4 linked regions of the Diceros bicornis minor genome follow. The protein of the gene in region 1 purifies or fractionates together with the protein of each later gene. This does not show direct contact. Links are inferred from orthologs where the notes say so. Each region holds a gene or a part of one and is shown in the gene's direction. Other genes may lie near its edges.

Region 1 (7,250 bases):
CTCTGCACTGTCCTTATCTTTAGATGAAAGAGATGAGTGACTATATGGTGTGACTATATGACAAGTCTCTCCATTTGCTTTTAAGACGATAACTTCTGTGCTAACGCTAAGAAGTAGCATGTACTCTGTGCATCGATGTGCTCCCTATATGGAACATTGAGTGTCGGATAAAGAAAAGATCTCATTTGGTAAGTTACTGACATGCGTCAGCTGGACTGATGAATGAATTAGATAATGAAATCTTTAAGATTAGCTTCCTTATTGGTTTGCAAAGTCAACAAAGTTGATGGAAACCATACAAATAGAAAAGCTTGGCCCTATATTTGGTAAATGTTTAAGTTATTTGCTTAATGATTAGTCTTTGATATGAAATAGCATTATTAAAATTCTAATAAGCTGGTATATGTAAATCATTATTTTTATTAGAATATATCGCTGCTGTTTCTGATTATTCTTTCTGTATTCAGATGGGGTGAAGAGCAATTCACTCAATAATTCAACAAATCTTTACTGAGCTCCCATTATGGCCGAGGCACTGTGCTCGATACCTCAAATATCATGATAAATAAGGTGCTTAGTTTATTCTAATGAGGGACAGAGAGATAAAAAAAGGAAGCGTGTAAATAATTAAGCAAGATATTTTCAGTTAGTGGTAAGTGCTTTGGAGAAAATAAAATGGTTGCTGAGATGAGGAAGGGCTGGAGTGGTGATAACACGTTAGAAGGGGTGTGGTCTGAGTGGGCCTTCCTGAGGAGGTGACATTCAGCTGTGACCTGAAGAATGAAAAGGAGCCACTCAGGCAAAGATGTGGAGAAAGAACGTTTTAGGCAGAGGGACCAGTAAGTGCAAAGGCCCTGATTTGGGAACAAACTTGGCCAAGGTAAGATTCAGAAAGGCTTGTGTGGCCACAGAAGAGTTACTGGGAAAGAGGCCCGAGGTGGGGCAGGAGAGGTAGGCACAAGCTAGCTCATATAGGACCTGGCCGGCTGAGGATTTCATGTATCCAAGTGAGATAGATAGATAACCGTTGCAGGGTTTAAGAGGGGAGAAGGTTGGTCTGATATGTTTTAAGAAGATCGCTCTGTGCCTCCTGATAAGATGCACTGAGAAGGACATACGTCATTTCTGTGGTATCCCAACCCACGCTGCATAACCTGACTCTAATCCTAAGGAAATATCAGAGAAATCCAAATGGAGGGCCATTCTACAAATAACTGGCCCACAAAATACTCTGCAAAAATGTCAAGGATATGAAAGCCTAAGATGAATGTAGCATTCCACATTGAAAGACAGTAAAGAGACAGGACAGCTAAATGTAATGTGTAATCCTAGATGGATCCTGCAGCAGATAAAGGACAGGCGTGAGACAATTGGCAATTAAGTTCTGTAGATAAGATAACAATTGCAACAATGTTCATTTCCTGACTTTGGTAATTGTACAGTGGTTACGTAACAGAATGTCCTTGGTTTTAAGAAATACACACTGAGGGGCGTGCTGTTTGCTTCTTACTCAAACATCTCAGAGGAAAAAAATCACATATATATTGACATATTTTTAAAATCATATATATACGATGTTTTTATTGAGAGGAGAGAATGATCAAGAATGATTAATGTTAACATTTGAGGAAACTAGAAGTAAAGGGTGCTGAAATTCCTTGTACTACTTTTGCAACTTTTTTGTAATTCTCATATTTCTTTGTGTATATAGCTGTAATTTTTTAAACTACAGGTTAAGCATGGGTTTGCAATCTGTGTTGGGTGGCCGAGACAAGTTAAGTACCTCTGTAAACTGCAAAGCCATTAACAAATGGACGAGCTTGGACAGTTCTATTGAGGAAAAGCATTATTTCTGCTGGCTTGAGTATATTTTCCCCCTTTTCACTCTCCATAAGATGATGATGTTTAGAAGTTCTGGGATTGGGCCAGTTAATGACATTAGCAGCCAAGAACAGACCACCCAGGAGCTCCTTTTTTTTCTTTTTTGTGAGGAAGATCAGCCCTGAGCTAACGTCCATGCTAATCCTCCTCTTTTTGCTGAGGAAGACCGGCTCTGAGCTAACATCTATTGCCAATCCTCCCCATTTTTTTTCCCGGAAGCCCCAGTAGATAGTTGTATGTCATAGTTGCACATCCTTCTAGTTGCTGTATGTGGGACTCGGCCTCAGCATGGCTGGAGAAGCGGTGCGTCGGTGCGCGCCCAGGATCTGAACTCGGGCCGCCAGTAGCGGAACGCGAGCACTCAACCGCTAAGCCACTGGGCCGGCCCAGGAGCTCCTTTTAGAAGGATGGGTGCGAGAGCAGCTAATACTCTTGGTTTGACATACTGCCCCTTGGCTTTTTTTGTGGTTAGAAATTTTTTTTAAATGCCAAAAGGTCTAAACACTGGTGTTTTCATCACCCAGAATTATACGATTACCTTTTTAAAAAAAGAAAGAGGACACTGCAGATCAAGACTTCTTTGACTGCTTTTCCCAATTTCATCACACTCCTTTCTCCTCTCTCAAAGCAACAGCCAGCAGAATTTAGTCTATATCCCTGTAGTCAACTTTTAAAAATTTACATACATACATCCAAGAACTAATATGGTTTTATGTGTGTTTGTAAAAAACTTACATAAGTGGTCTTATACTACATATAATCTCTATAAATTATATATAGTGTAGACTATATAAAGGTATTACCACATATTTCTTGAACTTGCTTCTTTTCTCCACATTATCCTTTTGAGATCTATCTAACTCTGTTGACATAGCTGAACTTCATTCTTTTTAAATGCTGTACAGTAATCCATCGTATAAACACAGCATATTTATACATTTCCCTATTGATGGACGTTTACGTAAGTTCCACTTTTTGTTACTGTAAATAATGTCACAGTGAGCATTGTGAACCTGTCTCCTTATGCACATGTGTGAGTTTAACGCTACGGCATCTCCCGAGAAATGGAAATACAGGGCAATTCAGGGTCGTGAGCTATGGACATTTATGTTTTATTAGTTTCTCTCTCTCAAGAGGCCGAACCAATTTACACTCCCACCAGCAGCATCGAGATCTGCTTGGTGTTTTCCTGAGGGTCCTTCGGGGCACTCGGACTTGAGTTCCCAGCAGGCACATTCTCAGATGTGTTGTGCCCAGTTTGCGTCACTGGAGTTCCCAACAGACCTGCTTGCAAGTGCACTCAGGACTCCGTGGCTAACTCCTTGGTCATTTGGGTTCTTTGCTCTGGGAACAGTCCCCGTGGTGGAATCTTTTTGTGAGGAACTTTATTCTGATGGGGCCATTCGCTGCCTGCTCTTGCTGCCAGTCATGGATGCTTGCTTGGCCGGGGGGACCCAGACGTCAGTTAAAGAATCTGTGGTTGTCCATATAAACGCCAAACACTGGCCTCAGATTTAGGATACGAGGTGCGAGGACTCCATTCGGCCCACATCTTTGCTAAAAGCGAATGAACGGATGACGATAACCAATACTCGTGAGCTTGCGGGTCCTCCTTTTCCGCCCACGCTGACCCCGTGAGGGGGTGTCTCCAGGAGCGTGCGCGCACGGCGCTCGTCCGGGCTCCTGGCGGCCTATCCCCTCCCGAGTCTGGAACCTGGACACTCATGACTGCACCCATGTCTGTAACAGGAGAAGACCCGCCACGGTTGCGAACACCACATTTCAGCATCCTGTCTGCAGAATACGGTCGCGGAGGCTGCTGACCGATCACACGCCGTAGGAGACAGGGGGCTGGCTTTTCGGGGGGAGAAAGCATCGGTCTCTGCTTCCCTTCCCCTCGGAGGGTCCTGATTGAGGCCGGGGGCTGGGGAGGGGGCAGGGAAGGGGCCTGCGCCCCCAACATGGCGCCCCCGGGGCCCGCTGTGCCCGTGCTTGTGCAGGAGGCCGCCGGGCACGACCGGGGCTTTGTGTGGCCGCTCCCCGCGAGTTTCCCGCCCAACAGGCCGCGGCCCTCCCCTCCCGCTTCTGTTACCCGGGCGGCAGCAGGGCGCGCCGCGTCGCCGTCGGCGCATGCGCGCGCGGGAACCCGGCCTCCCGGCCGGCGCACGTGGCCCCGCGGGCAGGCGGGCGTGCGCGCGCCCGCACGGCCTCCCGCTCCCGCCGCGCCGCGAGCCTCTCCCTGCGCCCCCGGCCGACGAGTGCGGCCGGCGGAGCCGCGGCGTGCGTGCGCGCGCGCGCCAGGCCACGTGGGAGAGGCGCCGCGCCGTTGCCCCGCCCTCCCTCGGCGCGCGCCGGCGTCGGCTGCGTCTCCGGGCATTTGAATTGCGCTTCCGCCATCTTTCCAGCCCTCAGTCAGACGGGCCCGGAGACGCTTCTGGAAGGTAGCGGAGGGGAGGCCGGGCCGGGGCGGGGGCCGGGGCCGCGGGCCGGGGCCGGGGCCGGGGCGAGGGCGCCGGCGGCCGCGGGAGGCGGCGGGGCCGGGCCCGGGGCGGCGGGCCCTCTTCCCCGTGGAGGCCGCGGGCCGGGCCGGACCCGAGCGCGGGCCGGGCGGGCGGGCGGCGGGGCGGCGGGCCGGGCGCGGACGGAGGGGGGCCGGGCGGGCCGGCCGTGACCAGGCGCTTTCGGGGCCCGGCCTCCGGGCCTCCCCCGCGCGGCCTCCCCGCCGGCCCGGTGAATGGGCCGCGGGAGCCGCCGCCCGGCCGCCATGGCGCCGCGCCCCGCCCGCCGCCCGCGCGGGGTCGGGCCGGGGGCCGCCTTTGTGGGCCGGCACGTGGGGCGGCCGGCCATGTGTCCCGGCCCCCGCGGGCCCCGCTCTCTCTCCGCAGGAACATCGCGATGGCCGCCCAGGGAGAGCCGCAGGTCCAGTTCAAAGTAGGTGTCCGCGTGGGCCGGCGCGGCGGGGCGCGGCGGGGCGCGCGGGGGCTCTCGGGGCCGGGCCCCGCGTGGCCGCGGGCGCACGTTCCGGCGGCCGAAGTCGCCGAAGCGATGGCGGGGCCGCTCGGTCGGGGTCCTTTGTGTGGGGGGACCTGACGGGGTGTTGAGGTTCTGTCCCCCCGGTGGAGGTGGGCGTCCGGCAAGCCTCGCGGCTGCGTGACTCCGGGGTCCTGAGATGTTACGGGTCTGGGGTTTATTTCAAAAACGTGTTGTCCAACAGCTCGTATTGGTTGGGGACGGTGGCACTGGGAAAACTACGTTCGTGAAACGCCATCTGACGGGGGAATTCGAGAAGAAGTATGTAGGTACGTGGGGGAAAACCGTCGGCGAAAGTGGGGTGAAACGGACGAATTCCCGGACTGATGTGGGGTGTGTGTTTCAGCCACCTTGGGCGTCGAGGTCCATCCCCTCGTGTTCCACACCAACAGAGGGCCCATCAAGTTCAACGTGTGGGACACAGCGGGCCAGGAGAAATTCGGTGGACTGAGAGATGGCTATTACATTCAAGGTGCGTGTCTCGTCTGTAACTTGAACACTTTTTGAGAAATTGTAGTTTGGTCCCCTAGGGTGTTCAGTGATGATCAGATCTGTTCCAGTGAACACATGCTTAATCCGGACCGTACCAGGAGTTGTGTAATTTAGGTTGATTAAAAAGTCATTGCCTCCAGGGAGCTGACCATCATTGGAGGGGGAAAAAATTTTATGGAAGTTGTCTTGTGCCGTTTGGTTGCATGCTGTGTCATAATAGGCACTGTTTTGAAAAAACTACTTGATTTTATATTGAGGCTCATAATTTAAAAACAGTAGTAAGCAACAGACAAGCAGTTGCTGCAGCTTCAGCCTCATTTGAAAACTTATTTCTGGGTGTATGTTTTGGTGGTCATCAATGATGATTTCTTCTCCATTCTATTGAGAAGATAGTAAACAGTTTGACCAGATACTGGACCAGAAGAGCTAGGTTCTCTAGCTTACAAATGTTGTAAAAGACCAGCTGTTTTCTTTTTAATTGTGCTGAGTTTTGCAGAATTTTTTTTCCGAATGCTTGATTTAAAAATTGCAAAGAAAAATGCTTACTGTTGTGCCAAATGAAAAGATGAATAAAGAAAATACTCATTACCTGGAATCTTACTCTCGCTGAAAAGTTGTTGGGAATCCTTCCATGCTATTTGCTTTTCCTTGAGTATGTACAAATACAGGGATTTTTCCCCCAAAAATTCTTTACTTAAACTGTATTATACTGTGCATACTCTTGGTTTTTTCATTAGCTTTGAGAGGTGCCTATTCCTACAGGTCAACATAGTGACCTACTTGAGTATTCTTAAATAGAGGCATGTTATGGTGTATTCAGCCGTTTAAGGACATTGTAAAGCATAGATTTCTAGACCCTCAGAATATGGGAGGTGAGTTCTCTGGAATGTTGATTTATCATTAATCTACTTTAGGTACTTTTTTGGGATTAGGTAGAATTAGTGATGAAGGACTATAGGGAGAGAGATTTGATAAGGTAAATTGGTTTTTCATGCTTTCATATAAACGGTATTGTGTGTTACAGTGATTTAAGATTTTTAGAATTGGAAGAGACTTTGAAATTGATTAGGCAACTCTGGATGACCTAGAGTTAAGTCTGAGACTGAGTGCTAGTCCATAGTTCTTAGCATTTCTCATCCATGTAGTTGCTAGGTGTGTACTAATTTCTGTAAATTTTTCCTTCAGCCCAGTGTGCCATTATAATGTTTGATGTAACATCGAGAGTTACTTACAAGAATGTGCCTAACTGGCATCGAGATCTGGTACGAGTATGTGAAAACATCCCCATTGTGTTGTGTGGCAACAAAGTGGACATTAAGGACAGGAAAGTTAAGGCAAAATCTATTGTCTTCCACCGAAAGAAGAATCTTCAGGTATGTTTCTTACAGCTTCCATTTACTGGATTAGGGCCCTTAGATAAAATTATATATGGGTCCATTAAAGTGGTTGATAAACGTCTGTGATATGTGGATTGAAGTAATTTTATCTTTTAGCTTGCAGTGTCCCCCAGGATGATCATTGTTTGAGTAATGGAGTTTTTAAAATTAATTTTACTTCTTTTTTAAACAGTACTATGACATTTCTGCCAAAAGTAACTACAACTTTGAAAAGCCCTTCCTCTGGCTTGCTAGAAAACTCATTGGAGACCCTAACTTGGAGTTTGTCGCCATGCCTGCTCTTGCCCCACCAGAGGTTGTCATGGACCCAGCTTTGGCAGCACAGTACGAGCATGATCTAGAGGTATGATGTTTCAGTCTCAGTGGGTGCTGTGGGATTTGGCATATCACATTCCTAGTGGCTTTAATCTAGAGTGTTAAAATTTTTTCATCTCTTTTTCCAGGTTGCTC
Region 2 (7,953 bases), on another chromosome or scaffold:
TAGGTCCATGCCCAGGAACCGATCCTGGGCCACTGAAGCAAGCGTGCTGAACTTAACCACTAGGCCATGGGGCTGGGGCTGGCCCCCAGAATTGTCTTACCTTTTGAAGAATATATAGAGGAGGTTTTTCATCCAGGTTGGGCTTAGACTAAATTGTATTTCATTTGTAATTAGTGGATATTTCCTATCTCTTAGAGAAGGGTCAGCAGCCTCTCTATTTGCTAATTTATAATTGGCAGACGGTTCCAATACTATATGGGGAAAAATAAAGAAGTTTCTTGGAGGACAGGGACTCTAATAATAATAGGCTTTTCATAAATTGAGATCTCTCCCAATACACCATCTGTTTTGGCTGAAAAAACCAGGTTCAAGTTTAAGAAAAGTGAAGTTGGGCTAATCTTTGTTTTCAGCTTGGTTATTGGGAAGGAATTCCTGTCCTTCTGTGTTTTGTGTCAGGTTCTGCCACTTGGTCTGAATATGAATAGCTCTTAGTTTTTTCTCTAACCTTCTATGATATACGTTGAATTCTGTTGATCTTGCTAACATAGCTTCTCTCTGAGATTTGGAGGCCTGATGTACAATATCCCTTCCACCAAAACGCCCCTGCTGATGTACACTCACTCCCATCCTACAACATGTCCTCATATCCCCATGCCATAATGGGAGTCCTTGCATTCCCAGGTGATCCTAAGCCAGCGATTTGAGTCTGGTCTCTCCAACGGCTATCACATCATACAGCTGGGCAAATATCCACTCTCACTATGCAGCAAGACTAGAACCAGGATCTAACAAACATTTAAGTGATAGGTAGGTTCCAAAACTGGCCAAAAAAATGGCAGAACGATGGCAAAGTGAGAGCATGGGCTTTGAGAGAGGAAGAGAAATCATTTCAAGTATTGACTGCTATTATTTTTAAAATAATTTTTTTAACTATTTTTTTATCCCTTCAGTAGTGCCCCAGTTTCAAATGAGGAAAATAATTTCTCTCAGGATTATTAGAATTACGTGAAAATCTCTATATAACATTATGATGGGGATTTGTTCATGATTCTTACAAACGCTTTATCAGGAATAAATAAATGAATTTGAGAAACATTAATTTGTTATGCAGTATAGTAAATGAATACAGGCAAGCCAGGAAAGGTTATATAAATCAGTTTAGCTGTTTTCATCATTGTACTATTTATTCTAATAAAATGGAAACAGTTGACATTGGTAGTAATTGGATATTGGGCAAATGAGCTATAGTATATACAGAGTGACTGTTAACACTGTTCTGTGTGTTCAGGATATAGCTATGAGAAAAATTCCTTATCTGCTAGGAGTTTAAAACCTAGTAGGGGAGAAATGAGTTTCTATTAAAATATACTCAGTGAAACAACCCAAAACATAAGGTCACTTCTCAGAATCATTTCAGTTTTGTCTAGGCCTAAAGACCAGTGGGAGTAGAAGTTAATAATAAAAAGGAAAGGATGAATAAAGAAGATAGCTAGCTCATAATACAAAATTTACAAGTGATAGCTTCCAATGCTGTGAACTACAGAATCTCATAGGGTTTTTAGGGATTAAATTTAATGATCTATAGAAATTGCTTAATTATAAGTACTAAATAATAATAATTTCCTTCCTCAAAACCTGTTAACTCTTAATATGGCTGGAAGGATTTCAAGAACCCCTATTATTGTTCCATGCCATTTGATATTCTTTCCAATTTATATATAGTATCTCTTAGAGAAATGTTCAATAATTATTTATTTGAATGCAGGTAGATTCTGTAAGTTATAATCAGAATAACTTATTATAACCCATTCTACTACTAGTAATTCCCACTTAAAGAATGAATTTTGTACCAAAAATGTGTGAGGAACTCTAGGTTTGGTGATTTGTAACTCCAAACTGAATTTCAGCACAGAAACAATGTTATTTTAGAATCTCAAACTATGCAAAAGAAGTTACTTCATCCCATAGTGAGGCTGATACTATTTCAAGGTAAAATTAAGAAGTTTTTTTTTATTTATTTATTTATTTCCCCCCCAAAGCCCCAGTAGATAGTTGTATGTCATAGTTGCACATCCTTCTAGTTGCTGTATGTGGGACACAGCCTCAGCATAGCCGGGGAAGCTGTGCGTCAGTGCGCACCAGGGATCCGAGGGATCCGAACCCGGGCCGCCAGCAGCGGAGCGCGCGCACTTAACCGCTAAGCCAGGGGGCTGGCCCAAAATTAAGAAGTTTTGAATGCGCATTTCTTCTTGTCTCTTATTCTCTCTCTGCTGTCAAGCCTGGTAAAGTTTCCAGGAACTCAATCACATAAATGTGGGACTAATGTATTCTTGTTCCCTCAAATGTTGTTTTACTTCAAAGAAATAACCGTAAAATGGGGTAAACAATTGAGATCAAGTCTAAAGGGGGATGTGGATTTTCCCATATCTCCTCAAATCCTACCAATTTTCTATTCTAAAGTTTCGTTTTAGTTAGGCCCAGCTCTTTTGCATGTCCCTTCCTTCAAAGCTTGGCTGTGAAGGCTGTCCCCACACATCAAATAGCCTCCAAGAAAGGGATGGGTTTTGAGTCCCAGCCAGTCCACTCTCCTGTGCTGGGAATTTTGAGTCCGGTGGGCTGAAAAGGGAAGATGGGATGTGGCTACAGTTCCATCTCCTATATATGAGCCCATTTAAAGATTTAGGTACAGATCTTCCCTGTGAGTTAGCTTATTAAAAATTACCTTACTCCGCTTGCCAAATACCTAGCTAAGAATTGTGAAAGACAAACAATTGTATTTAAGAAGGATGAGGTGCTTCCAGAAGAAGAGTATGCATACCTGGAGAGTCCAGGGGGGAGTCAGTGGTGTAAGGGGGCATGAAGCTAGGACAGGGAAGCACAAGAGCAAGTGGATTCATTCTGTCTATCATATTCTGCAACTTTTTATAGTCTTGGTGGTTACGGACAGGAGCGCCACTGAAAGCCGTCATTTGCTCTGTAAACCTAGGTCTGATACAACATGGTTCCTTGCAAATTCCAAGGTACTGTAAATTTCGTTTTACAATTTGACTTATATGATTTATACAGTGGTTTGAATTGTGCAGTTTGTTGGTGGAGATGGTATAAAAGTCTTGGAGTTAATTTATCTGTGTCTGATAGCTGGATGATGTTAGATGCTTTCTATCTAAGCAATCATTATGAGCTATAATATATACATTAGTCCTTTTATCAGACGCGCCACCCTGTTGAGGTTAATATTCATTCTGTTTGCAGATGAGAAAACTGAAGCTTAGAAAGAGGATCAGTAACTCCCCCAAGGCTACACAGCTAGTAAGTGACAGATTTGAAATTGTCTATTTGACTCTAAAGCTATTTATAAGCTTTAAGATCAACTGGCTCAAACAGAACATTAAGCCTATGTTTTTTCACAGTGGCAGATTTTTCTCCCTAATCATTCAGTTACTTGTCTCAGCTCTTACAGAAAAGTTGGGTTATAGTCCTGGCTTTGACTGCCCAGCTCAGTGTCCGCCAACATGCCACTTGGATTCTCTGGATCGCTGTCTTGTCCGTTGAATGAGAGGGCTAGACCGCGTGATCACCAAGACCTTCCTAATGGTCAACTCCTACAATCTCTATTCGTATTTTGTGGATTCCATCTTTGAGCCTAACTCACTTTCCTAAATATGATGCCTTCTATTTGGAGCAAATATATATATACTTTTATTACTGATAACAGACTGCTTACCTCTAATGTGAGCTGACTGCGTAGGTAATAATTGTAGCCATTTATTGTCTACCAGAAAACATACTAAGTGCTCTACGTAGATGATCACAACAGTTCTATAAGGTGGATTTTAAAGTTTCACGTTATAGAGGAGGAAGCCAAGGCTCAGGTTTTGACTTATCCAAGGTCAAGCCAGAGAGCAGCAGAGCTGGAATTCCAGCCTTTGTGTATTTGACGACAAAGCTCTTATATGTTTAATGGAACATTAATGAAACTGTATATATTTTCTAATTCTGCTTTAGGCTTAAAGATCATGGACATTATTTTTTCAACCAGTTTTTTTTCTTTTTATGTTATTAGCTCCCGTCTTTGATTTTATTATCTGCTTATTTTCTGCTCCCTTTATCAAATGATGGGGAGAAGTAGAGTGGGAACGTTACTGTTTTGATGTTAAATGCCTCTTTCAAAGTTTAAGTTTACAGCCAAGAGCGGCAAAGTGAACAGACTCTCTGGCTTTGTGACTTCGCGGCGATCCGCGCATCTCCTTCCTCGTCCTCCTGAGAATTCGCGTTCTTCCGCTGAACTACGTTTCCCAGCGGGCTGCGCGGCCAAGAGCGCGGGCTCGACAAGCCCTTCCTTCCTCTTCGCCTATCACGCGGTCGCAGCGTGATGACGCAAACTGGTCCGGCGCTGACGAGTGACGGCATTCTGGCTCGCGACCGCGGCGGCGGCCTTAGCAGCGGCAATAGGCGCAGCAGCAGCGGCGACTGCAGGGACGACGACGGCGGCGGGGCGGGCGCTGCGCGCAAAGGGGAGGGGTAGGCGGGCGGCGCCGGCGGCTTCAACTGCGGCAGCTACGACTAGGGCGACGGAAGAAGAATCCCCATCAGCCGGCCGTCGAGTTAGGCCTAAGCGCCCGGAGCCGCTTCGCTGTCCTCTGCGGGGGATCTCCATAGAGACAGTGACATACACAGAGGCGGGGGTCCGCGGGAGGCTGCCGGACCGGAGCCAGCTCCTCGGCCTCTGTCGCCGCCACCGCCTGCCCCGCTGCCAGCGCGCGTCCTCTCGCCACTCCAGCTCGCAGCCTCGCCGTTCCTGGTGTGCCTGTGCCCCGCTGTGTGGGCAGTGCGGGCGGACTGTTGGGCTGGGGCCGGGCGGGGGTGCTCTAAGGCCGCCGCCTCTGCCTCTCCCGCCCCCTTACCCGCCCGGGAGGGGGAAGCAGCGGAGGCTCCGCCATGGCCTCGGGAGCCGGAGGAATAGGAGGGGGCGGTGGCGGCAAGATCCGGACGCGGCGGTGCCACCAGGGGCCAATTAAGCCTTACCAGCAGGGGCGACAACAGCACCAGGTACGGGACCCCGACGCGGCGGTGGCCTAGCGGGTCGGGAACTCGGCGGGAGGGAACAGGCAGCGAGGGGCCCTGGCGCCCCACGTGGAGCGGACGGGAGGGCCTGCGGAAAGGCCCGAGCGAGGCGGCGGGAGCGCAGGCGGGCGGGGTGGCGACGGGAAGTGGGCTGACACAGGCCCATCTTTGCGGCACCCACGTGTGGTTCGGGCCGCCTCTCGCCAGCCCTCCAGGCCAGGGGCTTCCCCTGGACGGGCGCAGGGCGGGAACAGCAACTCTAGGCCCACGATGCCCGCGTTTCTTTCGCTTTTGGCGGGGATTGGGGGGTTGAGGGTATTACTCACGTCCTCCCGAGGGAGAAAGGAAAAGATGTGGCTGGAGGCCTCTGCGCTTGCTGTTTTCTAGTCTCCCGCGTTTCAGTGCGTGTGGGGAGGGGGCTGCCCGGAGGGATCGGCCTCCGGGGGTTGGCGGGGGCGCTGTTACACAGAAAGTGGAATAACTTAGTCTCAACCTATTAATTAATTCTCCATCTCCTCTGCTCTTGTTCCTCCCCGATCTGAGAGCATTGGCTTAGATTTTTTTTTTCGTAACCGGGTTAGACTTACCGTGGCAGTGGGGCATTTTGAAAGTCCCTCTCCACCCTTACGTCTTTTCTCTGCTGCGAGACTCTTCCTTCTCCACTTTCTATCCCTCCCCTTCCCTTTATTTTGGAGGGTAGACTTGGCCGTTATGCACAGTTGACCGGGACTCCAGTTCTGGTCTCATGCACAAAATATTTTAATATTATGGGGCGTATTCTGGAAGTTTAGGTACTTTTGACATTCCAGGCATGTTGGTGGTCTTAGAATTTAACCACCTTGTGCACTCATGGGTGTTTGAAATTATGAAAAGGAGTTTATCCTAATTGTAAATGAGACATTTGAGTCTGAGGAAATTTCGTTTTTTAAACGTTACGTGTTTATTATGGGGATTGAGTAGGAAAATGTTAAAAACTTATTTTGATAAAAGTCACTAATAAAACTTCTCTGTGATGCTGAGGTGGGAAGTAAGTGTATATCTTAAACTTGTTAAAAAACAGAAGTACCGTACAGCAAAAGGGTCTGATAACTTGTTGCATACTGTTAAAGGTAGACTTCCTAGGTTGCCTTATTCTGGATGATGATGAATATTGGACACTTTAACATGTTTGGTAGTGGTGTTAAATTGTATCATTAAAAAACAACAGAATTTTAAAAGTAATGATTTGAGGGAAATTTTTTGATAGTAAAAATTGTGGTTTATAATATTAAGTAGTCCTCTACTAATGGTTAGAAGTCTTGGCATTACTATTATCTCTCACCAGTTTCCCCCCAGGTAAATATATGCAGAAAGTACTTGGTTTTCAGATTTCTTTGTGAGAAACAGGGGTATATACTTGCAGGCAGATTTAAGATTAGAATTCAGGTCACAAGCCTGGCCATTTAACCTAATCCTTTTGTAGAATGGAAGTTAGACACACATGCTTTCTGTTTCTCCTGAAGAATAAATGTCTGAGTGCTGTCTTAGGTCTCCCTAAGGGAAAGTTACTACATAAAAAATGAAATGTTTTAAATACAGATCATTGGATGGTCTGGACAGAGTTTAGAAAGGAGCTAATATATTCCAGGTGGCAGAAGTTATAATCACAGCTTACTTTTAAAGGTATTTAGATAAAAATCTAATTTGGGGGAGATGATGCCTTAACAACATAACACCTATGATCCAAATTGTCTTAGAGCTGATATAATTTCAGTGTAGTTTTGTTTTAGAGCTTGATAATTTTATCATTTCCCCTTATCAGAAATGCTTTCAGCTTCTTACCTCAGCCATTTAATTGAAAAAGGAAATACATTTTTAGCTTTTGGGTTGAGATTAAAGATGTTTGGGAGTTTCTTGATCAACACTGTAGGTGTTACTTAACATTGGCAGAAACTACCAAAGAAAAGTATGTGTCCAGGAGTATACAAAAGAATACTCTTTAATTTATCGATTTTGTTCATCTTAAAATAAGGACTTTCTTTAGTCTTTACTGGAACTTTTGTGGATTTGTAGACTACCTGCTTGCTGTACTATCCTGGGCTGTCACCTCTCTATGTTTTGCAGCAGCTGCTGAGTCATCATGAATATCAAGGAGCTTCATGACATGGCATGTTTTATACTAATGTTATTTGATTAAGTGTCTAAGAGTTTCTGGGCAAAAATGAAGTTTTGGGATATGTGGTAGAGAGTTGGAATAAGAATGAGAGGTCTGGCACTATTAGTTAATGGATGTTTGCCATTGCCTGTCAGGCCAACTGGCTTGTGCAATCACGCAGTCACGCAGTACCTGTGACTTTTGCGTGTGTTCAACTGACTTGTAATTTCCTGTTTTGATTTCTTCTGGTTTAGCTCTGCTGAGATAGATCTAGTTTACATTTTTTCCTTTTAACTTCTGATCTTTAAAATGGCATCTTGCTCGAAGTGGTGGAAACTTAAATCCATTGTCTTAACTAACTGAAGGGAAGCAACTTAAGAATTGAAGAAGCAAAAATGAAGAACAGCCCTGAGTAGTGTAAGTTGATCATTTTCACTTGCCTTCATCCCTACCTCCTAACTCTTAGCCCAGATGCATTTAGGAAATGGTGTCATTTTTCTAGTTGGGAGTGAACAGGTCACTAAAGAGGATGTGGTTAGTTCTTGTCACCTCTTCAGTCTCCTTTCCCGTTTCCTTTTTGTGCAGATTGTCAGGCCCAAAAAGTCAGCTCTGGAGAGGTCAAGCTGCTTTTTTTAATAGCCACCACAAAAAACTTGAGCCCACGGGCAAACCAGAACCTTGCCTCTGGAAGAATCTACTGCCACCTCCTGGTGAGAGGGAACTACTTATTTTTGCCCTTTTTTGGGGGGTGTGCT
Region 3 (7,321 bases), on another chromosome or scaffold:
AGAGCACTATACTAGTAGAAGTCAGCCTCTGATGACAGAGAAGAGGTTAAAGCTAGATATAAGAGAATTTGCAGTTGGATTTTGGATGCTGTTCCTGAAAATCTCTAGAAAGAGTCAGAGAGATACTGATTTGGCTTGAGTAGTTTACAGGTAATCATGCTTTGAGGCTAGGAACTAGACTAGGTAACTTCTTGAAATCACTCACAGATATATGGTTTAGATTACTCTGTGATCTATCCAATCAACTCAAAATAATGACCACATCCAAAATAATGAAACCAAAGTAAAATTAGCCAGCATCATATCTACTAAGGAAAATAGTAGGTATTCCATATCTGGTGCTTAGAAGAGGTTTCGGCCAGCCTGCAAAATCCTATGTGGAAGGAATTACAATGTGTGTTCTTCTCTACTGCACTCATTTACACAATTATTAAACTTTTTTTTTTCCTAGGCAGTGCTTATTCTGAATATAGATTTGAAGTGACTCCTGAATTAGAACTGCTGTTCCTAATGCTGAGCCTACGATTACTCAAACTGAGCATGCAAAGTCAGCAAACACCTCTCCACACCTTACATATTTGCACTTATCTTTATTTGACGTCAGAAAAATTGTTTGAAAAATGATTTATGTACGAACAGGATCTTCAGGCTCAGGATGATGAGATTTTGTGTCATCCAGCTATGTCTACTTTTACTGGCTTTAGTCAAAGAATGACTCACCAGAATCAGATCCTGGGGAATATTTTGGGAGGTGTTAGAAAAGTCTAATACCAAGCAAAGACCAGCATCTTGGTAGAACAGTTTGATTTTCTTCAGAGGTTTCTGAGATTATACAAATCAGAAAATAGTTGCTAGACTGTTGCAAAACTATTCTAAATATTTCAAGCCTTTAAAACTTGATATAGGCCTTTTAGTCACAACAAGAGCAATTCTGGTCTGTGTAGGTCACTAGAGCCATTAGCTGTACTATATATTTAGACGCATATGACCAGATTCAACTTATTAATGTGTTAAATATAGTTTTCTTTTCCTTTTGATCAACAAAATAAAAATTCACTTCTAAACTATGTTAAGACTTATCAGCTTTCAAGTATTATATTATTTTATTTTTTCCTGAGGAGGATTCACCCTGAGCTAACATCCACTGGCAATCTTCCTCTTTGTTTTTTTTTGCTTGAGGAAGATGAGCCCTGAGCTGACATCTGTGCCAGTCTTCCTCTACTTTGTGTGTGGGTCACTGCCACAGCATGGCTGATGAGTGGTATAGGTCCATGCTCAGGAACTGAACCTGGACCGCGAAAGCAGAGCACACACAACTTAACCACTAAGTTACCAGAGCTGGCTCTATTTTTATTCTTAATTTTAGTCTAAGAAATATTTTCTTAGGTGTTTTTTTCCTTCTTCAATAGCTTTCTTCTACTCTAAAACGGTTGCTATACTATTTTGGTAGATATCTGTCTTAAAGGGCAAGCATAATGTAGGCTACTGGGAGGATAGGGTGACTTTAAAATGTGTACTTGAAACATCAATGGGTATTTGTTGATGTGTGCAAGGTACTATACTATTGGCAAGGAGCTAATACATGGTAGGAGAGGTAGATTCATGAACAGAGCATTCTTTTACAATGTGGTGGGCGTAATGATGAAGATATGCAGGTAGGTGTCTCTTTCTCTGTGAATCTGTAAAACTAATTCAGCCTCAAATTGTTGGGGGAAGGTTTCCTATAAGAGTTAATGCCTGGGTTGAGTCTTCAAGGGTAAGCAGTCAGGCAAAAAGTGTGGAGCAGAGAGCCTGAGCAAAGACACAGAGGTGAATAGGGAAGTGTTCCTCTTATTCCTCTGAGCTTCTGAGCAGGTGCCTTAGTCATTGGTAGAAGGGGAGGCTGCTGCAGCTCTGTCACTGTTTTATCATAACAGAGAGTGTTTTGCAGATGTGCTGTGCAGTGGTGATCACATGAGCAGCCATTATGACTAAAATGTCAAGTTTACCAGATGTCCCCTACCACCTTTACATACAGCTCTTTCCCCATTTTACAGGCAGTCCAGTGTAACTCAAAGGATAACCACAACCCCCCTTCTATTAGTTTCCTAGGGCTGCCATAAGAGTACCATAAACTGGATAGCTTAAACAAGAGAAATTTATTGTCTCAGAGTCTAGAGCTCTGAGATCAAGGTGTCAGCAGGGTTGGTTCCCTCTGTGGACTGTGAGGGAGAATCTGCTCCAGGCCTCTCTCCTAGCTTCTGGTGGTTTGCTGGCAATCTTTGGCATACCTTGGCTTGTAGACGCAGCACCTAGATTTCTCTCTTCATGTTCATGTGGTGTTCTGCCCACCCATGTCCAAATTTCCCCTTTTTATAAGGATACTAGTCATATTGGATTAGGGGCCCACCCTACTCCAGTATGACCTCATCTCAACTAATTACATCAGAAATGACCCTATTTCCAATTCTGGTCATATTCTGAGATACCTGGGGTTAGGACTTCAACATACAAATTTTGAGGAGACAAAATTCAACTCAGAACACTCCCTTTCCAATGTAAGCTCTATAATTTAAGGTCAAATCTTAATTCCAGAAAATATTTAACAGGAACATAAATGCCTTGTGACTTGTTTTCCATGGGTTAACCTATCTTTTCCTACTTATTTACATGAAATGTGTATATTCTGTTAATTTCACCATATCATAGATTTCATAGAGTGCTTAGAACTTAGTAAAAATTTACCTACTAGGTGTCATGGTTAAGCTGCTGTTTTATTAAATGCTGATCTTTTTTGAAAGATATTTTCCAAACAGTATAATATCTTAAAATAAAACTAGCAAACTTAGTTGACACAAACAGTGTGATCAGGACTGCTTATCTTTGAGGTGTTGAACAATCCTATAAAACAAGTATTAATATATTGAACTCCTGTCCAAAAGTGGTATAAAGAATAAAAGACAAAGTGGTACAAAACCTCTTTTACTGAATACAGTTACTAAATAAATGACAGGAATAAATAAGCACTGGAAGCCAGTATTTGATATCTATGATCATTTGATAATATGGCATTCACATAGATATAGTTTTGTATTGGACTGGTGATAGCTTCCATAGGCAAAGGACTGGTGATAGTTTTTTGCATAAATCACTCTTTTATTGCTGTATTTGATTCTTATTTTAGGTACCTGATTAAAAGCACAACTTTTAGGGACCAGCCCAGTGGTGTAGTGGTTAAGTTTGCACTCTGCAGCCAGGGTTCACAGGTTCGGATCCCGGGCATGGACCGATGCACTGCTTGTCAAGCCATGCTATGGCAGTGTCCTGTATACAGTAGAGGAAGATGGGCAAAGATGGGCAAGGATGTCAGCCCAGTGCCAATCTTCCTCAGCAAAAAGAGGAGGATTGGCAATGGATGTTAGCTCAGGGCTAATCTTCCTCATACACACATACACACACACACACGCACAAAGGTACAACTTTTAGAAGAAAATTTTTTCTCTGCTTTCAAAATGGGTCCAATCTACTCCCTAGAGATTTCATTACGTCTTTTGATTCAATTTTTACTGTTCACAAGATATACACCAATATTCAACAGAGATAGTACAATTCCCTATATCACTCGCTTTTTATCCAAAGCAAACAATTTCATTCTGTACGTCGTTCAAATCTTATTCATTTACAGAATAAAGCTGGCTCTGCCAAATTTAGTAAGTGGATGCAAGCAGCTGCCTGGGAAGGACAAGGATCGAGTTCAATCAAGGATCCTGTAACCTGATACTATTACTGTTGTTCTCTCTTACAGTCCTAAATAGATTCCATAATCTCATTATTTCCTAGCCCCTCGATGTGACAGGTTTTCTTCTTGGCACTCATTACCGAAATTAATCTGTCGGACTGTTAGGTTGGCTTGGTTTTCTATTTCCTGGCTGTCAAAGCACAGCGGGAGCGGTATCCGGACAACTGTTTTGAATTTTAAAGGTTTTTTAAGCCTGCTTTCCCCATCGGTTCGCTTTCCCCTCTCCTACACTCTCGGAGCCTTTTATTTTTTCTCTTTTCCTTACTTCCTTTTACACTCACACTGTGTAGGGGGATTTAAATTCTAACCCGGAACTCAGAATCACGCGCCTTGAATGACGGGAGTTGTAGTTTCCGTTACTCCTCCGTAACCGCATTTTATGCGGATTCCTTCCCACAGTGAAAAACTACAACTCCCAGAAAGAACCCTCAGGGTGGCCGCCCCTATGCGCACGCGCCCTGACGCCGCAGGATTTGAATCGGCGGCGTTGTTATTGACGCCATATTGGGGCCGGCGGCGGGTGGAAGAGTCGTACGGTGGAAGGGGAAGCGGCTGGACGTGTTAGCTTGAGCTCCGGCCGCCGCCGCCACCACCTCGCAATCCTTCCGCATCGACCGCCGCTCTCAAGCTTCTGAGCCTACGCAGGCGGCTTAGGAGCCGTGTTCCGGCGTCATACCTCACCAAGCTGGTATCGACTTCCGAAGGGAGCCGGTCTCAGCGCAGGAGCGCCTCAGGCGCGGCGCAAAGCTCGAACGGACGGCGGGGGCGGCTGGAGCTTCTCCCGGGGGAGCCGCGCCTGAGGAGGCGGAAGAGCCCCCCTGACGCGGCGGGCGTGAGCTGCCGCCACCGCCCCTCGCGCTCTCGCCCGCGCCGGCCCGGGCCACTGCCCTGCCGCGGAGGCAGCGGCGGCGGCTCTCCTCCCCACCGGCGCTCCGCCACCCGCCCTTCTGCTCCTGAGCCCGTCGGTTAGGCTCCCCTCGCGTCCCCGCTCTCCCCCTTCCCTCGCCCTCCCCGACCCCACCCGAGCCCGGCTCTCCGCGGCCCCGGCCATGGCGTGCGGAGCCACTCTGAAAAGGACTCTGGATTTCGACCCTCTGCTGAGCCCGGCGTCCCCGAAGCGGAGGCGATGTGCGCCATTGTCGGCGCCCACCTCGGCCGCAGCCTCCCCGTCGTCGGCGGCCGCGGCCACCGCCGCCTCCTTCTCGGCCGCCGCCGCCTCGCCGCAGAAGTATCTCCGAATGGAGCCGTCCCCCTTCGGCGACGTGTCCTCCCGCCTCACCACAGGTGGGACTCGGCCCCGCGGCCGCCGGGGGGGTAGGGGCGAGGGGACGGGGGTCCCGGGGCGCAGGACGCGGCCGCAGGGGTGGGGGTGCCGGACGCGTCCTCGTTCTTAGCGGACTAGTTGGGCGACCACATTTCTTTTAATTAGCTAGTCCAGTCTGGGAGACAATAGAAATGGCTTGATATCAGTGGGGGGTTGGGGGGCGGTCGGGAGGTGGGTGGGTAGGGGCCGTGCCTTGCCGGGTATTGTGGGGAAGAGGAAGATCCTTTTCTTTGGGCCAGTGACTGGAATTGAGTGTTTCCGTAGTCTGGAGAGCTCCAGCGGAAATGATCGGAGAGGGCGATATTATTCATAAATTTAGGGGAGGGAAGGGTCACAATTACCCCGAATCTCGGTGTCTTGTCTCCCTGAATCGATGGGTTGCAGCTGTTGACTCTGGGACTGGGTGGTTCGAAGCGAGGCAGCAGCCCCTTCTCCAGTTCAGACATGGCTGATTTTAGTACAGAGGGGGTGGGGGGTGGGGATGGATGTCACCGGGGCGAGATGTAGGCCTGTCATTAATCACCCACAAGAACGCCACTTTGGCTGAGTCAAGACCTGTTTCCCTAGCAGGGTCAACAACAAAGAAAATGCTCTTCCCGTGTACTGTAATATGATCACACTATACGTCTAGACCTTGAGAAACTTGAACTTTTAATGAAAAGCAAATTGTATTGAAATTTGGGGCTAAGTAGTTGTTTTTAGTTGGAAGTGCTTTATTTCAGCCCAACAAAGTATGTCGGGAGAAAACAGCCTAGGCCTTAAGAATAATAAAGTCAACCCAAGATTCGAAGGGACTTCAGACTATTTTTGCTTTTCATTTTGAAACATTTCCTGAAAGTGACTACGGGGAAATGTCTTTTGGCTGCTTTGTACTGCATGTGTATGCCCAGTTTTTTCTGTACTTTGAAATTCCTTGTGTGCCCTTGGCACAGTCCTAAGATAGGCTTTTGTGGACTGGTAGTGTAATTCTGTTTCCTTTGTGTGTGTAGCATGCAAAGGTTTCGTGTATGTGCCTTTGGTAATAATATGACCTGTAGACAAAACTTTTTCATAGCTTGATTTAAATGTTTCATTATCGCTGGTTTAAAAAAATTTAGGCGTATATATCTCTATATTTGGTAACTTCCACTTGGAATTGACTCGTTTTGTTTTTTCAGGTCCGATTTTTAAATATCCTTCCCCAGATATGCGGGGAGACCTTCAAATGCCAAGGCTACCATTTTTGCTATTCAATATTTGATCTAACTTAAAGATATACTATTTTAGAGTTGTGGCGAGTTTTGAGGAATTCCCAGATAATTTTATTTAATGACCATACCTAAACTGTTTTCTATATGAAGACATTCATTGATTTATTGTTAGGCTTTACATTAAAAAAGAAACAATGTTACAAATGAGCTCCTGGTGGTTAACATTATTTTTAGAGTTTGTCTTTTTTAGTGAAATAGGATCATTGAAAATTGAAATGATACCATGGAATCTGTACTTAACAACTAATAAGGCCACTTAAAAATAGCTCTAGCTAACCAGCAATAAATTTCAGTCGAGGGGGTGAATTAATACAGTGTTAGGTTTGGGAGCTGAAGTATATCTCAATGCTAAAATAGTCTTGAGCATATATGGCAAACCAGCCAGGGGCTATAACATTTGTCCTTGCTGTAAAGGAAACTTATTTGGAAAGAATTGGGATCCTTTGCAAATTTGTGATTTCATTGATATATTTGGCTAAGGCAGTTGGCTCCGAATTTTCTCAAATTTCCATTAAGTGTATTATATGATAGTAAAACAACCGGAATCATTGGAGTTGCTTAAGCCTGCTGATTTCGAATTCATATTTTCCAAAATACTGCTGCATCTTCTGTTTTGGACGTTTACTCTGGAAGTTTGATCAGATCCTGAACTCGAAAATCACACCATAATTGATTTTTATTGTCTGCTAAAAGTTACTTAGCTATTTAACTAATTTGAATCTTAACGTAAAAAGTTAACTTCGAAAAGCATTTAAAATTGCTAACGTTTTGAATTGCAAAAATTTACTTTTTTTTTGCTGCTATTTTGAGTGACATTCTACATGTAATTTAATTTGGCTTTGTGTTTACATGGCCAGTTTTGGGCATGCTCCTGTATGGTTTTGTAATAACGTCATAATGGGAGCTGCAGTGTTGTGCAGGTATCAAAGAGCTTCCCAGTTTTCATGTCACCAAACTTGGAAATAATTT
Region 4 (7,586 bases), on another chromosome or scaffold:
CTTGAATCACCAACCTTCTAACTAATCTATCCATACTCCTTAATGACTTAAGACAAAATAGTGATTTTTTTTTTTTTTCATTTCATTTCTTGCCTTCTGGGTTTCCTGGTTTGCAAGACTCTGAGTAGATTTAACCTCACCGTCTCTTCACTTGTAGCTCCCTGAGACAAGGGTCACACTATTTGGAGTGGTCTGAGAGGTAACTGTTTCCTCTAGGGTTCCAGCAGAGTAGGAGGGGAGCAGTGGCAGCCTGCAGTTTCTCACAGACACCTCACGTCACCACTTGGGACAGCACCCATCTACAGAAACCCTGCACCCAGGTGAAGTTTGCCTGACTGAGTAGGACTTGGTCATGCAAACCAGGATCAAGGAGAGCCTACGTGGGGCTTTAGGGTTCTTTATTGCAAGGTGTTTGGGAGAGGAAGTTGGTCTTGTCCTAACCACACAGCACAAGGGCTCAAGTGCTGAAGGGATCGTGGTCAGCAGATGTAGCTCCTCATCATGCCTTTCTTTCCTTTCCTTCCTGCTGGGCCTTAGCTAAGCTGAAGCTAATAAGTAGACTTTATGAGCCAACCCCAGCGATGAGGTGAAACGTGCTTGCAGAGTTTACTCATGGAGAAGGATATGCTAGTGGAAGGCTGGGACACTCTTAGGATGACCAATAGCTGCTAGCGAGTTCTGATTCATGGCCCCACTAAAGAGGCCATAAGTAACAAAATGGTCCCAGGAACACTATGTTCCCAAAAGGCCAAAGCCTGAAGATATTGCCCTTTATAATTGAATCAGCTTTATGTATTCACGAGTCCTCAATCAACCTGATCAGGGATATGTGGGGCCACCCACTTAGCTCCCCCCACTGCCGAGGGGCCATGGGTGCCTGTATGCTCAGCCTAGCCATGGAAGCAAGCACTGCCAGCCACAGACCCTGGGAAAGATGGAAGCAAACTGGAAGATGGTATAGTCTCAAAGTGAGGACACCAGTAGAAATTTGGAAGCTGCAGAGAGACCAATACAGTTGAAAACTAAACCTGTGTATACTGGGTCCTCCCAGTTTGATATTTTGGCTAGTTTTCTTAATGATTATGCCATGGAGCATTTTCTATGACAAGAGTGGTCATGGAAGTAAGTGAGCAGCTGGTTCCTTGATTCAGCTCTTTCATTTCTTAAAGCAGTGGTGCTCAACGTGTGTTTCCAGCAGTATCAGCAGCATCTGGGAACTTGTTAAAAGTGAAATTCTGAGGCCCCATCCCAGACCCACTGAATCAGAAGCTGGGGAGAGGGCCCGGCAATGAGTGTTGTAACGAAACCCCTTGGTTATTCTGATGCACACTACAGTCTGAAATTCACTTTTAGAGGGAAAGCCAAGTATCAGAGGCCCCACACTGAGGAGCTTTGGGACCTAGAATAAGAAGGTCCTATTTATAATGCAGACATCAACATTAATTCCAAAGTTACCTTTCTCATGCTTCTTTATGTTTCTGGTTCTCCTTTTATTTAACACAGAAAGAAAAGGTATGTGTGCCTTTGGGCTGAGGTTAGCAGGATGTTTGCATCTCTCCTAGTTGAACACAACCTTCAGAGAAAAATCCCATGGCTCTGAAGTGTCTGGCTGGCACACTAAGGGGCTCCCACAGAAGACGGCAGCTGGAAGTCTCTTCCAGATCGCTCTTCTCTGGATTACTTGTGTCTACTGTGAGCCTTTTCCGATTATGTAACAGGATGAGAAAAGTCAAAACACCTCCTTTGTATTTCCATGACAACTTGTCTTAGGAACATCCCCCTCCCTACTCCAGTTTTGGGCTCTGCAGGTCTGAGAACCTGGCCAGAACCTCCTTCCCAATGCGGCAGACAGCCGTGATGCTGTCTCCCACGAAGGCCCCTCTCCATGCTCTGCTTGGCTCACAGGACAGAGTTCAGCTCGATGAAGGCACAGTCCTGGGGCACCTCAGTCCTTGGGCTCCCCTTTTCCTTTCCCCACACCAGGACTCGGATACACAACTCCCCAGCCATGGCCAGAGAATAAAACCCTTTAAAAATCTGAAAGGAGCTTTGGATCTTTCCAAACTCACTGACTCCAGCTGATGGGGCCATGGGGGAGATGAGGCTGTTGACAGCTGGTTTTGTTTCAAACTTGTCTGTTTTCCCTGGGAGAGAGCTTGTGGGTGGAAGACAAGCATGCCAGTCCTCCTGAGCTCTGGAACTAAGCCACAGAGGAAGGAGAGTCTAAAACAATTGCACTAAAATCACCCCTCACCCCCAGAAGGCAGGCGATGGGTCCTTTGGTCATCTCCTGTGGGATCTTCCTGCTTCCCTGCCATTTCTCTGAGACTGGAGATGTCTGATTATAAGGCAAGAGCCCCATACCCAGCTGGTCTCTGTGCTGCTGCTGTGCAGAAGCCTCCCACTTCCTGCTGTGTTTGTGTTTTTGTTTTTGTTTTAACAGAATAATCTTTTTTACAATAAATTCCCACCCCTGCTAGATTCCTTTCCTTCTCCCCTCCCCATCCGGTTTTAGGCAGCACTGTTTATGTGATGGAGTCTTTCTTTCTCAAATGCATGGCGAACCTCAGGTGGAAGGTGGGCAGGAATTTTTGCAACACTTTTTTTTTTAATTTATTGAACACAAAACCCAAAACCAGGATATGTGTGTGTCTGTGTGTTTATGTTTTTTCTCATCTGACCCTCCCCTCTTCCAATCGACCCCCTTTTATATCCAATGTAGAGAAGCAAAACAACCTGGAAAGCAACCTGTTGTATATAGCTGCGGTAACAATCAGGAAGAGAGCGGGACTGTCCCCTCAGTAATTCATTTTAAATCACAAATTGGTTGAAAATGGAATCCATGCTGGGGCCAGCTGAAAAGGCCATCCCCTCATCTGGGCCCTCTGTCCATTAGGCATGTCTCCTCCCAGCAAGAGTCATCTGTTCGATGCCATTTGTGTTTCAATAAAGTTATCTCCTGTACTGTCCACTGGTTCTCTCTAGCTCCCTCTCTGTCTGGTTCTGTCTCCACTTCCTGTGGCCCCTTCCTCAAACTGGAAGGTGAGACCGCTCGTGGTTGTTTGCCTAACCTTAGAGGTAAGACCCACCTGCCCGGAAATGTCTCATCCTCAAATCCTAAGCAGGAGTCTCTTGACCAACCTTTGGGAGTTGGGGGGAACTGCTTGCACACTGTGGACATAGCATCCATCACCAAAACTCGAAATGTCCAGCCCCAAAGTTGGGTTCTTGAGTCCTCCATCCACTGCCACAATGTTTGAAAACATACCACCCACTGGACTTCCCTAAGCTTTCTTTTGGGAATAAAAGTGAATTAACCTAATTCTAATTAACCTATTCTAATGGAGTTCACCTTCCCTTGGCCACTGAGAGAAGGAAAATGAGAAGTCTTCCTATTCCCTGCTATGGAACTGAAGAAAGAAGCAACCTTTTCCCTGTGAAATAGTTGTGGTAACACAACCGACCTCTGCTCCCTAACACGGGAGGTGACAAATGTGTTTAGAGTTCACCTCAAAATAAATCGAGGAGTCTTTCTTTTGGAAGAATCCTCAGATTGGTGACCTAAACCCTGATTGTTATCAATTTAGCATCCACCATCTTACAACTGAGCCAAGAATTGCTAACTGGTTTCCTTTGCCACTTAGGATTGAGACGGTTCCTAGAAACCATTTTAAGGCACTCAACCTGAACAGCTTTCTAAGAAATACCTGTTCCTCTTTGTTCTAGAACCTCCCACTCCAAGAACATAGCTATTCCAACCCTCTGCCACCACCCTGTCCTGCTTTTCAACCCCTCGGATAACTCCCTCCACTTGCTCCAGTATTGAGGGGCATCTCTATACCTGAGCCATTTCCCACGACCAGCCTGGGACATCCATATTAAACAACTCTCGTCCCTCCACCCCTTAAATGTCCAGCCATAATTTCTCTGGGGAAAAAAAAATTTATACTTTCTCAGCTAATAGGATTCATTCTCAAATAGTCATAGAAGTGTTGACAGTGGAGGAAATGCCCTTACGCACGGAGCTGCTCTCTCCTGGCCGGCCAAGTTCCAGTTTTGGGGTTGGGCTCACCTAGGCTGGAAAACCAAGACATTGGCTTTGGAAGGTGACCACACCTCAGTGCCCGTCCACTTCAGTTTCTTTTCCCCCTCCCTTTGGAATCCTGAGGCTAAGAGAGGAAGAGACTCACCTGGGCCAACATTTTTTCAGTGTTTAGGGAAAAAAAGTTTGGTTTAAAATAGGAGCTATTAAAGCCCTCTACATCCATCCCCATCCCACCTCCTCTCTCCCAACACCCGAAAGATCTGTGGATCTGAAGTCACATGTCACGGCCTTGCTTCCAAGTCCTCTTTAGGAAAGCCGCTTGTCCCGTACGGGGCTCGGTTTTCACGTCAATCCTACGTGATTCCGGGGGACAAGGGTGCAGTTCTCGTCCAGGCGGCAGGAGGCGCTGTCTGCGGAGGCCTGGACCCCCTCCCCGACCCGCTCGCCCCCGGCCCACCCCGTACGCAGGCGCCGCTTCGCGGATTGGCCGCGCGCGGGAGCCGTCCTCGGCGGCGGGTCCCGGCGGGGTGGCGGGCTGAGGAGGAAAGATGGCGGCCGCGGCTGCGGCGGGCGCGGCGTCGGGGCTACCGGGCCCGGTAGCGCAGGGCCTGAAGGAGGCGCTGGTGGAGACGCTCACCGGGATCCTGTCGCCCGTGCAGGAGGTGCGGGCGGCGGCCGAGGAGCAGATCAAGGTGCTGGAGGTGACGGAGGGTGAGTGAGGGCGGCCACATGAGGAGGGCCCGGCGCAGCGCGGGAGAGGGCGGACGGGAGGGAGGCGCCGGGGAGGGGTCTGGTGGAGCCGGGACCCGCGGGCGGGCGGTCCGCCTGCCGAGTGTGACCGAGTCGGGACCCGGTCCTCCTCTCCGCACCGCGGGGTCCCGGCCGGGCGCGGGGAGCGGAGGAGCAGGGCCTGAGAGGCGCTTCCCGAGCGTGGTCCTGCTCTCCAGGGCCCGCCTCCGATTTCGGAGCCTGGCCGGTGGCGGTTCCTCCCCGTGTCTTCCCAGAAATCGAATAAACGCGCATGCAGCCGCTTCCCTTCCTGACCGTACTTCTCTCCGTCCGTTTTCACAGTAACTCGCATTTCTTAAATGCCTCCGTGTGCGTTTCCGTTGGGAGGAACCGACTATCCTTTGTCTCTGATTCTTTGTCCCCATCCTCCTGTGATATGTCTTAAAGTGATGGAGGAGAAAAGAAACTCCGGGTTCGGGGTGCTCCGTCACTTTCCTGCTGAGTGGGCCTTTCACCAGGGTCGGGGTGGCCGCTCCACAAAGAACAGTGTGATCCTGAAGCAGGAGGAGGGAGAAGCCTCTTGGCCTTTTTGGAAGAATGTGCTGGTCTCTCAGGGCTCCACTGGGAGGACTCAAGATCCTCAGAATCCCCCAGCTCCGCAGGACGTCTCCACCGCCTCTTAAAGGCTCTTCTGAGACGCGGGAAGTTGTCCCAGGTCTGACAGTCACACTCCTGCTGGACTTAAGAGTTTTACGAAAAGAATTTAAGACAAGTATTCCTTAAATTTAACTTTATATTCTCACAGTGTGAGCTGTTGAAAACGAATTTCCCTCTGTTGGAAATGCATTGAGATTTGCGATCTCACAGGTTAAGGACCATTTTGAAGGCCTAGTTGTACTTGTCATTGTTCTGTAAAATGTGAGACCCTACAAGAGGAGCAACCACCAGGTAGGAGAAAACTGTTTGAGAGCCGTGTGTAGATTGACCTGAAGGAGTTATCACAGCCTCCCAAGGGAAATCCTTGATTCACATTCATGTCTCTGCCTCCCTTGGGCAGCAAGGAGGAAGAGTGACAAAGGAACCTCATCACATTCAGGTTACTACTTGAATGAAGGTGAGGGTCCGTTGCCTTCCCTGAATGATACCCAACGTTCCTGGTGCCCCAAATACATGTCCAGCGCCTTCCTATGAAAGGTGAACCCTGGCTCTTGTTTAAACTGTCCAGCAACAGCACCACTTGGGCTCTGATCCCTTCCACTCTAGCCAGTGCCGTGGTCTCATCTAGGCAAAGTCACTTAGAAACTTCTTGAAGTCTTTTTGAAGTTCTAGTCTCTCACTTCATCTTTTTTGCGTCTTGAAATAAAAAATTAAGCAGAAATGCACAATTTTGCCTTAGACCTAGGCCACTTATGGGAGTGGATTGAAACACACACACACACACACACACACACCCATAATTTACTGGTGTTGTGCTGTTGGGCATGCTGTGAGACCTATAGCAAGGCTTTGTTACAGTGACCTATATCAGTGGTCTAGGAGGAAGGCATATGACCCACAGGTTCACAGGTTTAGGATGTGGTGGACAGGGTTGGATCAAGTCTCCAGTGGAATGTGGTGCTTTGGACCGTTTGGAGGCTGTTTCTGTTTTTAAATAGCCTGACTCCTTATGTTTATTTAAGAACTATAGAAACTCACCCCCTTCGTTAACTTATTTTTAGATGGAGGATGGAGACCTGTTTCTCAGATACAGTACCTTGCTTCTCTTCTTGTGGCCTTGAACAAGTTATTTTTTGCCGGGGGTCCAGAGTACCTCCTGTTTTATAATCTGTCTGAATCTCAGGTGTTAAATTAACATGGTCAGTAGTTTCTTCTCCACTCGCTATTGCCCTTCTTTACATGAAAATATATAGCTCCTGGCTTCCCGGCCAGGATTTAGCCATCTGACCTGATGAAACTGGCAGGACGCTGCTCCTGCTATTAGAACACCCTGCAGACCAAGGTGAGGAACCATTCTTGCAAATGAATGAACAGATAGTTTTCCACTCCTTTGGAATTGCTTCACATTTTAGTTTTACTCTAGTGGAAGAAACTTTGCTTTCTGGTCCTAGGAAACATGCTTCCTTAAAACTTGAAGTTAATGAGAAATCTGGGGGTTGGTGTCTGTTATTATTTGTATTCTGGTAATCTTTTGATCCTGTCTTGGTTCTCTGGGGCCCAAGGTCAGCTGACAACCAAATCCAGTTGTTTCTAGATCCTCTGTCCCCTCAAATAACCACACTGTCTTTGTGAGCCATTTATTATTGTTTCACATGGGAGACTGGTCCCAACTGATCCTTAAGACTAACCAGTATGTTCCCTTTGGCAAACTAGTGTGCCACCTTCCTTCCCTAGTCTTGAGGATTAAGTGAAAGAAGCTCTAATTTAATTTTGGGGGAAAGGGCAGAGTAAATTTTCAACTCCCTGTTAAATGGACAGATGAGAGGTTGACATGCTCTGACCAGATTCTGGGGTAGAGGAGACTTTGAGAAGCAGTTATCTTAGAAAATTGGGGTTGCTGGAGGCCAAGGTACATCCTAGTCCTTTAGTCTGCCAGCAGATATTTTCCAAGAAATAACTTGCCTATAGTTAGTTATCATGTTTTCCACAATGGGAGCCTATTCTCTTAAGCCAAGGAAGTGTATATATTTGAGAGATTCACCTGACTCATAGTGGGTCAATTTTGAAAGGATCAGGATAGGTTGTTTCATCACTTCATGTCCTGGAATGATTTTCTCGAGTCCCTGTGTTTGCCATTTTCTTTAGTCACTTGGAC

What was found.
Region 2: the proteins of RAN (region 1) and NUP153 purify together in Homo sapiens (affinity purification with mass spectrometry; 5 studies listed by BioGRID and IntAct, counting the BioPlex papers as one, with this or other methods). This does not show direct contact. The link is inferred for Diceros bicornis minor from reciprocal best matches to the Homo sapiens genes RAN and NUP153.
Region 3: the proteins of RAN (region 1) and AKIRIN2 purify together in Homo sapiens (affinity purification with mass spectrometry; 3 studies listed by BioGRID and IntAct, counting the BioPlex papers as one, with this or other methods). This does not show direct contact. The link is inferred for Diceros bicornis minor from reciprocal best matches to the Homo sapiens genes RAN and AKIRIN2.
Region 4: the proteins of RAN (region 1) and IPO9 purify together in Homo sapiens (affinity purification with mass spectrometry; 3 studies listed by BioGRID and IntAct, with this or other methods). This does not show direct contact. The link is inferred for Diceros bicornis minor from reciprocal best matches to the Homo sapiens genes RAN and IPO9.

The regions. Positions count from the first base shown.
Region 1 is NC_080774.1:2,098,558-2,105,807, reverse strand, and holds the start of RAN (GTP-binding nuclear protein Ran), read left to right. Parts: upstream 1-4,233; 5' UTR 4,234-4,322; intron 4,323-4,766; 5' UTR 4,767-4,776; coding exon 4,777-4,812; intron 4,813-5,095; coding exon 5,096-5,180; intron 5,181-5,257; coding exon 5,258-5,383; intron 5,384-6,588; coding exon 6,589-6,776; intron 6,777-6,972; coding exon 6,973-7,143; intron 7,144-7,243; coding exon 7,244-7,250. UniProt on the Homo sapiens protein: GTPase involved in nucleocytoplasmic transport, participating both to the import and the export from the nucleus of proteins and RNAs. Switches between a cytoplasmic GDP- and a nuclear GTP-bound state by nucleotide exchange and GTP hydrolysis.
Region 2 is NC_080753.1:49,678,011-49,685,963, forward strand, and holds the start of NUP153 (nuclear pore complex protein Nup153), read left to right. Parts: upstream 1-4,938; coding exon 4,939-5,049; intron 5,050-7,953. UniProt on the Homo sapiens protein: Component of the nuclear pore complex (NPC), a complex required for the trafficking across the nuclear envelope. Functions as a scaffolding element in the nuclear phase of the NPC essential for normal nucleocytoplasmic transport of proteins and mRNAs.
Region 3 is NC_080762.1:44,900,875-44,908,195, forward strand, and holds the start of AKIRIN2 (akirin-2), read left to right. Parts: upstream 1-4,310; 5' UTR 4,311-4,827; coding exon 4,828-5,062; intron 5,063-7,321. UniProt on the Homo sapiens protein: Molecular adapter that acts as a bridge between a variety of multiprotein complexes, and which is involved in embryonic development, immunity, myogenesis and brain development.
Region 4 is NC_080777.1:30,019,387-30,026,972, forward strand, and holds the start of IPO9 (importin-9), read left to right. Parts: upstream 1-4,578; 5' UTR 4,579-4,593; coding exon 4,594-4,756; intron 4,757-7,586. UniProt on the Homo sapiens protein: Nuclear transport receptor that mediates nuclear import of proteins, such as histones, proteasome and actin. Serves as receptor for nuclear localization signals (NLS) in cargo substrates.